Saccharomyces cerevisiae S288C: one gene and its partner. Changing the gene in region 1 together with any one later gene gives a genetic interaction. Each region holds a gene or a part of one and is shown in the gene's direction. Other genes may lie near its edges.

What was found. Genes that interact genetically often act in the same process or in processes that back each other up.
Region 2: mutations in YJL070C (region 1) and ROG1 together harm fitness more than expected from each alone (negative genetic interaction), as found in Saccharomyces cerevisiae (2 studies listed by BioGRID).

The regions. Positions count from the first base shown.
Region 1 is NC_001142.9:305,285-312,351, reverse strand, and holds YJL070C (metallo-dependent hydrolase superfamily protein), read left to right. Parts: upstream 1-1,714; coding exon 1,715-4,381; downstream 4,382-7,067. Other genes in the region: UTP18 (Utp18p), read left to right, coding at 1-1,430; ARG2 (acetyl-CoA:L-glutamate N-acetyltransferase), read right to left, coding at 4,496-6,220; DNA replication protein PSF2, read left to right, coding at 6,490-7,067.
Region 2 is NC_001139.9:231,950-236,014, reverse strand, and holds ROG1 (putative lipase ROG1), read left to right. Parts: upstream 1-1,507; coding exon 1,508-3,565; downstream 3,566-4,065. Other genes in the region: MRF1 (Mrf1p), read left to right, coding at 57-1,298; TIP20 (Tip20p), read right to left, coding at 3,667-4,065.

The DNA.
Region 1 (7,067 bases):
ACTCTGAAGAAGCTGCTTGGATAGATTCGGATGATGAAAAAATTAAAGTGCCTATTCTTGTTACCAATAAGACAAAGAAATTAAGAACCTCCTATAACGAGTCCAAAATCAACGGTGTTCATTACATCAACAGATTGAGATCTCAGTTTGAAAAGATATATCCAAGGCCCAAATGGGTGGACGATGAATCTGATTCTGAATTAGATGACGAAGAAGACGATGAAGAAGAAGGCTCTAATAATGTTATTAATGGAGATATTAATGCTCTAACGAAGATCCTGTCTACTACTTACAATTATAAAGACACTTTATCGAATTCCAAACTATTACCCCCTAAGAAACTTGACATTGTGCGTCTTAAAGATGCAAATGCATCACACCCGTCTCATTCCGCCATACAATCTCTTTCATTCCATCCTTCTAAGCCTCTACTGTTAACGGGTGGGTATGATAAGACCTTAAGAATATATCATATTGACGGGAAAACGAACCATCTAGTGACAAGTTTGCACCTGGTTGGGTCTCCAATACAAACATGTACTTTCTATACTTCTCTATCAAACCAAAATCAACAAAATATATTCACCGCCGGTAGAAGAAGATATATGCATTCCTGGGACTTATCCTTAGAAAATTTAACTCATTCACAGACTGCCAAAATCGAAAAATTTTCCAGATTGTATGGACATGAGTCCACTCAAAGATCATTTGAGAATTTCAAAGTTGCACATTTGCAGAATTCACAAACAAATTCTGTCCATGGAATTGTCCTTTTACAGGGTAATAATGGTTGGATTAACATTTTACATTCCACTTCCGGACTATGGTTAATGGGCTGCAAGATAGAAGGTGTGATAACGGATTTCTGTATCGATTATCAACCTATTTCACGTGGTAAGTTTAGGACCATTTTAATTGCTGTAAACGCGTATGGTGAAGTGTGGGAATTTGACTTGAATAAGAATGGCCATGTTATAAGAAGATGGAAAGACCAAGGTGGCGTGGGTATAACAAAAATCCAAGTTGGTGGTGGGACAACAACTACTTGTCCGGCTCTTCAAATAAGTAAGATAAAGCAAAATAGGTGGCTTGCGGTAGGTAGTGAGAGTGGATTTGTTAATCTTTACGATAGAAATAATGCTATGACCTCGTCGACCCCTACACCTGTCGCCGCCTTGGACCAGCTAACAACTACCATTTCTAATCTACAATTTTCCCCTGATGGTCAAATACTGTGCATGGCATCCCGTGCAGTCAAGGATGCTTTGAGACTAGTTCATCTGCCTTCTTGTAGCGTGTTCAGCAACTGGCCTACCAGCGGGACGCCTTTGGGTAAAGTTACCAGTGTCGCATTTTCGCCATCTGGTGGGCTACTGGCCGTGGGTAACGAACAAGGTAAAGTGAGGCTCTGGAAATTAAACCACTACTAAATTTCCATTTATAGACAAACTTAGATATTAAAAGCAATGTACAAATACATACACAAAATATCACTGTAAAAAAATTGCGAAGAAACTTGAAATTGAATATGATTCTGCCCACTTTTTTCTTGCTGTCATTTATAGTCAGAAATGAAAAATTGTCCGAGAAATTAAATATAATATATGGAAAAAAAGGGGACATTGAGTTTAAAGAATTTGATTAAAATGTCCTCTCAATATCCTCTGTAAGAGTTATCTAAATCTCACTTTACTTATTCATCTCGCTGGGAATTATGCAGGCGGTAGAGAGAAGGCCCTCGTTACTCTTTGACGAATATCAAAATTCTGTTACTAAGCCTAATGAGACGAAGAATAAAGAAGCCAGGGTCTTGTCAGAGAATGACGGTGATGTCTCCCCATCTGTTTTGAAACAGAAGGAAATATCAGTCGATGATATGGATATGATTTCTTTGCCCACGGAATTTGACAGGCAAATGGTTTTAGGTTCACCTATGTTTTTCGATCTTGAAGACGAAGAAAACAAAATTGATCCACTTCCTTCAGTTTCCCATCATTATGGAAATGGAGAAAGTGACAGCTTTGTCTCATCGTACACGCCCTCAAATCTGAAAACGGGTGAAGAAACTAAAGATCTTTTCATTAATCCGTTTGAATTGGTTTCTCAAATGAGAAAAAGATACATTGCTGCTTCCAAACAAGATGGCATTTCAAACATAAAAAATGACACTGAAAAGTGGTTTTTATACCCAAAACCACTGCCAAAGTTTTGGAGATTTGAAGACGATAAACGATTCCAAGATCCCTCTGACTCTGACTTAAATGACGATGGAGACAGTACTGGGACCGGAGCCGCTACACCGCACCGCCATGGCTACTATTACCCAAGTTACTTTACCGATCACTACTACTACTACACAAAATCTGGTTTGAAAGGAAAAGGAAATATAAAAGTACCATACACCGGTGAATATTTCGATTTAGAGGATTACAAAAAACAATACATTTACCATTTAAGTAATCAGGAAAATACGCAAAACCCACTTTCACCTTATTCTAGTAAGGAGGAGTCACTAGAGGAAGAATTTTTAACAGATGTGCCTACGTTTCAAGAATTTAGGGATGATTTTGCATACATAATAGAGTTAATCCAATCTCATAAATTCAACGAGGTTTCACGAAAGCGATTATCTTATTTATTAGATAAATTTGAATTGTTTCAGTACCTAAACTCTAAGAAAGAAATTTTAGCTAATAAAAATGTTCCCTACAGAGATTTTTATAATTCTCGTAAGGTAGATCGAGACTTGTCTTTAAGTGGTTGTATTTCTCAACGTCAATTGAGTGAATATATATGGGAGAAAATAAATTTAGAACCTGAAAGGATAGTTTATCAAGACCCGGAAACGTCAAGGAAACTCAGTTTGAGAGACATTTTTCAGTTTGGTTGTTCTTCTAATGACCAACCCATTGCGATTGGGTTGAAATTGATTGATGATGAATTCTTGGATTGGTATAGAAATATTTACCTAATAGATTACCATCTAACTCCTAACAAAGTAGCAAAGTTGGTCGGCAAAGAAATGAGGTTTTACCTATTAGCCAAAGTGTTTCTGGAGTTTGATAATTTCATTGAAGGTGAGTACCTAGCAGAAATTTTCATAAAATACGTTATTCATATCCTCGAAAAATCAAAGTACCAATTGGCCCAAGTATCAGTTAATTTTCAATTCTATTCCAGTGGTGAAGACTGGTACAAGAAATTTTCTCAATGGTTGCTACGATGGAAGCTAGTATCGTATAATATCCGCTGGAATATACAAATTGCCAGGATTTTTCCCAAACTATTCAAGGAAAATGTCGTGTCAAATTTCCAGGAGTTTTTGGATCTTATCTTCAATCCTTTATTCACTCTGGAAAAGGAGCAGTTACCAATAGATTCATCTGTAAATACTGATATCATTGGTCTGCAGTTTTTTTTATCAAATGTGTGTTCTATGGATCTGGTCATTAAAGAGTCGGATGAATATTACTGGAAAGAATTTACTGATATGAATTGTAAGCCAAAATTTTGGACAGCACAGGGTGACAATCCAACTGTTGCGCATTACATGTATTATATTTATAAAAGTTTAGCGAAAGTTAATTTTCTGCGGTCACAAAATCTTCAAAATACAATCACCCTAAGAAATTATTGTTCTCCACTATCCAGCAGAACTTCCCAATTTGGAGTGGATTTATATTTTACAGATCAAGTTGAATCGTTAGTGTGCAACTTACTGCTTTGTAATGGTGGTCTGCTACAGGTAGAACCGCTTTGGGATACTGCAACAATGATTCAATATTTATTTTATCTCTTTCAAATACCCATTTTAGCTGCGCCATTATCATCTGTTTCATTACTGAATTCGCAAAAATCGACCTTTTTGAAGAATAAAAACGTGCTTCTAGAACATGATTATTTGAAAGACCAGGAAACAGCCAAAATCAATCCTTCTAGAGATATCACTGTGGGCGAACAAAGATCATATGAGACAAATCCTTTCATGAAAATGTTTAAGATGGGACTAAAAATTTCTTTATCATCAAAATCGATTCTTTACAATAGTTCATACACGCTAGAACCTCTCATTGAAGAATACAGTGTAGCAGCAAGTATTTACTTGCTGAACCCAACAGATTTGTGCGAGTTGTCGAGAACAAGTGTGCTATCTAGTGGCTATGAAGGTTGGTACAAGGCTCATTGGATTGGCGTTGGAGTTAAAAAGGCGCCTTACTTTGAGGAGAACGTGGGTGGGATAGATAATTGGTACGATACAGCGAAAGATACCTCGATAAAGCACAACGTTCCGATGATTAGAAGAAGATATAGAAAGGAGACATTGGATCAAGAGTGGAACTTCGTTCGGGATCACTTTGGAGTAATTAACTCCATTTGGTAGGGTAAAGTGAAATATCAACAACTTTGCATAGTAAGATATATATATTTATATAGATACCTTAAAAACTGAAAATGAAAACTTGAAAGTTAAGGAGGAGGAGAATGCGTCTTTGTTTCATGAAATATTTTTTTCATTTTCCCAACTTGGCTTGATGTCCCTGACAGACCTCATGAATTCTCTTAAACGTTTCTTGTCACGTAGTGCCCTCTTAGCGTATTGAGGGTTACCGTAGTAAAATAGTTTAAATTGGCTTTGCTTTTCATCACAGTGTTCGGGGTCTAAGTCAATCGACAAATCTAGCACAGCAACGCTACGTTGAAAATACCACTTGTTCACCACATTGTCTTTTCTGCTTCTCCAAAGTATCTCATTAGGAAATTTTTTGAACATCAAATTGAAGATTATATCAGATATACCCAGCGAGCCTTTCAAGTGTGGTAGAACGGCGAACTTATCGAGATAAACAAAGGAATTTTCCTCCGAGCCTTCATAGGTAAGAATTGCAATGCCTTCATAATCACCTATCACAATAATTGTAGCTATTTTTCCATTAATCCTTTTTATGTAGTCATGCAAATCCAAAGATCTTTTAAAGCTCTGATCGATGATGGATTTAAATTTGTTGATATCTAGTTTTGGACTATTGCTCGAGGGTTTTGCTCCTTTCTCAGGTACGTGAAACTTCTTTGGAAGCCCAATTGAGTTGAATTGAGTCAGCGTCTTATAGTCATAAGTTTTGATATGGACGCCCTTTTTGAGAACAGTTGTCACTAAAACTGCATCTGAGTTAGAAGGAGCTGCATTTACCTGTTGGGAAGGCAATTCATACCATGCGTGATCATCAAACATGTTGGCTGGTGAGTCTATCTCGCCGTCCTTTTTTTTAAACCTTGGTAAAGAAGAAGAAATTAGCGATCGGTCTGTCAATAAATTATATACTAAAGGATTTTTCCTATCTGATGATAGTGCGGCAGCTTTGACAGTTGTAATCAGTCCCGTTGCTGTAGCCGCTAGATTTGATAAAACTTTGTCCATCAATAACAGGTTTTCTAAATGATCATGGTATTCACATTCTAAGGAAGATATCTCATCTTTTTTAACGTACACCTCCATTCTGTGTAACAGGTTTTGGGAGCGTGGCTCTCGTTTGGTTAGAGTGCTTATATTGTGAGATAATGACGAGGACAAATGCTCGAGTTCCTGAGAAAGATTGATGAATACATGAGCGTTATCATTTCTCTCTCCCGAAGGTATACCTCCGGCATTATTTAGAATGAAGAATTTGTCAATGTGTGGAATATTCCCTTGGCACAGGCAATCCATAAATTTTACAACATCCTTTGTCATGAATTCTGAAGCAGTCTCTTCATTATACACATAAGGTTTCACAATTGGTATAAAATTGGAATTTCCAATATCAAAGAAACGACTCTCTTGCGAAAAAACAGAATGATATAACCCAGTGCGGGATTTAGTAAGACCCTCCTTAAGGTGAAGTGGCTTTAAATCTGCTTCTGTAACGATACTGTCAAGTAACTCTGCCTGTATATTTACATGAGTTGGCGACGGCGGAATTACAAACATAGGTCGCAAACCTAGCATTCCTAGTCTCTTTATGACACTTGAAAACTGGGACAAAATCGCTGGTGCGACTTTATGCAGGTCCCTGATAAAAAACAAACAATGATTATGCTGCCCACTATCATTTGTATATTTTGAGAGATAATCCTTAGCCTCTCGTTTTGTAGCGGTTGTATTCAGAACTGAAAGGATCAAGTTTTTTGAAGATGCATTGGGTTGATCATACTTGAGTTCATGCGCGAATATTCTCCTCCACATGATAAAAGTAACCGACTAGTGTCCTAGATTGACGGTCCTAGCTTCAAATGTGTTAACTTTCACAATTTATGTCGAACGTGCTTATGACTCCATGGGAAGATCAGTGATGACTAACCTTTTTTTTCTCCAGCGTGAAATTTCTTGTGATATTTTCCATTTAATGAAAAATCAGTCGCCTAAAGTGTAACTATGAAATGGTTAACAAAAAAGAGTTTTATACTTAGAGAGGATCAACGGCTGATCTGAAATAAGACTAGTTTCATAGACGCATGTCACTACCGGCACATTTGCAGCAGACTTTCTCACCAGAAGAAATACAGTTCATTGTGGAAAACGAGCCAATAAAGATTTTTCCCAGAATAACAACACGCCAAAAAATTCGTGGCGATGATAGAGGAACTGGAAACCACACCCGCTGGCAACTTATTACTACAGATGACAAAGCTTTAAATAATATGGTAGCCATGCGTTCTACAGAAGTGGTTCTTTGGATCGCTCTATTACTGAAGCAACAATCCAAGTGCAGTATTGTAGCACCACAGTGGTTAACGACGAAAGAGCTTGATAGAAAAATACAATATGAGAAAACTCATCCGGATAGGTTTAGTGAGTTGCCGTGGAACTGGCTTGTCTTGGCACGTATACTTTTCAATAAAGCTAAGGATGATTTTCATGACCCCATTCACGAATTACGTGGTAAAATACAAGACTTAAGGGAAATAAGGCAGATCAAAGTGTTAAAAGGCCTTAAGTATTTGAATGAATCTCATTTACAATTGGATAATTTAAGTCTATTAGAAATCAATGAGTTGAGGCCGTTCATTACTGAAATCATGGATAAACTGCG
Region 2 (4,065 bases), on another chromosome or scaffold:
ATATCTCAGGAATGAAAAGTTCGTAGAGCAGAACAATATATTTCATTGGTGCAAGCATGTGGCTTTCAAAGTTCCAGTTCCCCTCGAGGTCCATCTTTAAGGGTGTTTTTTTGGGTCACAAGTTGCCGTTACTAGTGCGACTGACATCAACAACGACTAACTCTAAGAGCAACGGCAGCATCCCAACACAATACACAGAACTCTCTCCGTTACTTGTTAAGCAAGCGGAAAAGTATGAAGCTGAACTAAAAGATCTTGACAAAGACCTTTCTTGCGGCATTCATTTTGACGTGAATAAGCAGAAACATTATGCTAAATTATCAGCGCTCACTGATACATTTATTGAGTATAAGGAAAAACTAAATGAATTGAAAAGTTTACAAGAAATGATTGTATCTGATCCATCATTAAGGGCGGAGGCTGAACAAGAATATGCAGAACTGGTCCCCCAATATGAAACGACCTCCTCAAGATTGGTAAATAAACTTCTTCCACCGCATCCGTTCGCAGATAAACCTAGCTTACTAGAGCTTCGACCGGGTGTAGGTGGCATTGAAGCCATGATTTTTACCCAGAATCTATTGGATATGTATATTGGCTATGCCAACTATAGAAAATGGAAGTATCGAATTATATCGAAAAATGAAAACGAAAGTGGGTCAGGCATTATCGATGCCATTCTGAGCATTGAAGAAGCCGGATCTTACGATCGTTTGAGGTTTGAAGCAGGCGTTCACAGGGTGCAGAGAATTCCTAGTACGGAGACTAAAGGAAGGACGCACACATCCACTGCTGCCGTGGTTGTGTTACCTCAAATTGGTGACGAATCTGCTAAATCTATTGACGCTTATGAAAGAACATTTAAACCTGGTGAAATCAGAGTTGACATCATGCGTGCAAGCGGGAAAGGTGGTCAACATGTGAATACGACAGACTCTGCTGTCAGATTAACCCATATCCCCTCTGGAATTGTTGTTTCCATGCAAGATGAAAGATCTCAACACAAGAATAAGGCTAAAGCATTTACGATCTTAAGAGCGAGACTTGCAGAGAAGGAAAGGCTGGAAAAGGAGGAAAAAGAAAGAAAAGCAAGAAAGAGTCAGGTTTCTAGCACCAATAGGTCTGATAAAATTAGAACATACAATTTTCCACAGAACAGAATCACTGATCATAGGTGCGGGTTCACATTGTTGGACCTGCCAGGTGTGTTATCTGGAGAACGATTGGACGAAGTTATTGAGGCAATGTCTAAATATGATAGCACCGAACGGGCAAAAGAATTATTGGAGAGTAACTGACGAACGTAACTTTTCGTTTCTTGTAAATATCATATCGTATCTATCACTTCTGTAAATCTTCTTTTCTATTGTTCTGCGCCACGTAAGAACTGACGCACATAGTAGATGCCCGAAATATGCAAAACTCTGTGAAATAAATTGTACCGCCTCAACAGTTCAGTAAGAATAGTACACAAAGAGAGTGAAGTACGAACCGTGTTTTGCTCAAGATGTCTCTGACACCAACTAATGAAATATTGTTTCATTACAAGTCTTCAGTGAAGGTTGGTGAACTTGAGAGATATGTAATTACTTATCATCTTTATGACGGTGAGGAAATTCCACCAGATTTGAATTTAAATTCCTTGTGGTTAAAGGTGAGAAATATGAATCCGTTATCGTATAGAGCTGCGTACCTAATGGGTCCATTCATGCTTTATTGCGATGTAAAAACTGCCCAATATCATCATTCCCAAAAAATAGTTGCTTCAGTTGATTACCCCAAATTTGAACCGAATGTGCAAACTCAACAAGATTTCGTGGCTGAACTTTCAGTACATAACATACGACAGAAATACGTATGGATTGCTGATGTGATGAGTCAAATATTGTTCACTACAAATACGAACGTCACTTACGAAGTCACTATTGGAACTAGTAAAGAGTCAGTAGAAAATCCGCATGATCTGCCATCTCATCTAGGTTCTTATAGCCCTAAACTTACAGTGAACAGGTTAACTACCTTGGATTTGTGGAATCTTCCCGTTCAGATTACCACACCACAGAAAAAGAAACATCTTGTAGTTTTGACACATGGTTTACATTCTAATGTGTCGACCGATCTAGTGTATATTATGGAACAGATATACAAAGCACAAAAGAATTATCCCCACGAACAAATTGTTGTGAAAGGTTATAGGGGAAATGTCTGTCAAACTGAGAAGGGAGTTAAGTATTTAGGTACTCGTTTGGCCGAATATATTATCCAGGATTTGTACGATGAATCCATCCGCAAGATTTCTTTTGTAGGTCATTCATTGGGTGGCCTAATCCAGGCTTTCGCAATAGCGTACATTTATGAAGTCTACCCTTGGTTTTTTAAAAAGGTGAATCCAATAAATTTTATTACTTTAGCTTCACCGCTTTTAGGTATAGTCACAGATAATCCCGCCTATATTAAAGTACTACTTTCATTCGGGGTTATTGGAAAAACAGGTCAAGACTTGGGTTTGGAAAATGATGTTGAAGTAGGCAAACCGCTTCTCTACTTGCTATCTGGTCTGCCCTTGATAGAGATTTTGCGTAGGTTCAAAAGGAGGACAGTATATGCGAACGCTATTAATGACGGAATTGTCCCATTGTATACCGCATCGCTATTGTTCCTAGACTATAATGATATCTTGGAGCAATTACAGAAACTAAAGGAGAACAGCAAAAAATCACCGCTAATAAATGATGCTTCAACACCTGTGAATCAAGATTTCTTCAATAAAACTTTCATTTCGCCTCTGACTAAAATGTTGAGTATACTGGCGCCACAAAAGTTTCCTACGGAGAATGGTTCCGAAATTCCTAAAGTATCATTTTTCGAGTCAGCAAGCTCAATTCTCCTTCCTCCTTTACCTGAAAGAGCGTACATAATGGATCCAGATTCAAGAGATCCTGTAATTATTCATGATAAGATATACAATGAGGATGACATTCCACAATCCGAATTTGATATCGAAGACGGTTTTTTTGGTAAAAAGAATATACTCCTTCAGGCTTTTTTTGCAGGAAAGAAAGAACGTGCGAAGTATCGAAATTTGGAAGAAACGATTGCTCGAAGGTGGCATGAAGGAATGGCATGGAGAAAGGTTGTCGTTGCTTTAAAACCTGACGCTCACAACAACATTATAGTCCGAAGAAAGTTTGCCAACGCATACGGTTGGCCCGTTATCGATCATCTGATAGATGTCCACTTCAATGGTGATGACGATGACGATAACGATGAAAATGACGATATCAATTCCACACAAGTTGTTGAACCTATTCAGAGCGTAACCGAAGGAAAGAAAAAGTATAGGAAAGCTGAAAACATTCCTCAAGAATATGGATGGTTGAATAAGGTTGAAACAAACGGAGTCTTTGACGAAGGTCCTACGGGAATGATATCAACTGTTGGTGAAATAGTCGAGGCGTTAGCTAAAAGAGGATTTAGCGCCGTAATCGACAGGAGAAATGCCTCGGAAGATCCGAATGATGAGGTCCTTCGGTTTGAAGAAATGAATAGTGATTTGGTACAATGATAGAGCTTTATATATTTATTTACGGTTTATAGAATGGTCTGGAGTTACATTTGGAATAATACTCGTCTTGTTGATTTTTTTCCTTCTCTTTTTTTTACGAGCTATAATATGTTACCATATATAATCCTATAGAGTGCATCTTGAATCTTCGTGTCCTTCAAGTACTTAATGGAATAAGCTTCTTTCAATGATGTGAAATTACCTGTTTTAATGTATTCTGGGTTTAAAAACTGCTGATTGTTTGGATCATACTTTAGCTTTAATATTTTTACTAGTTCGTGTAAACTCATACATTTATAATTGGTAGCATGTGACGGTAAGCTCAAAATGCTGCTTAAAGATTTAAAATCATGTAAAAACTGATTTAAACCGTTTTGATTAAATTTGTTCAACTTTAGAATTGACTCCGTAAAATAGTTAACAATAACATTTAACAATTCGTTCTTAACCTTTAATGAAATAGCTAGTGGGATATCCATTGAATCCAATTTGTTGATCAA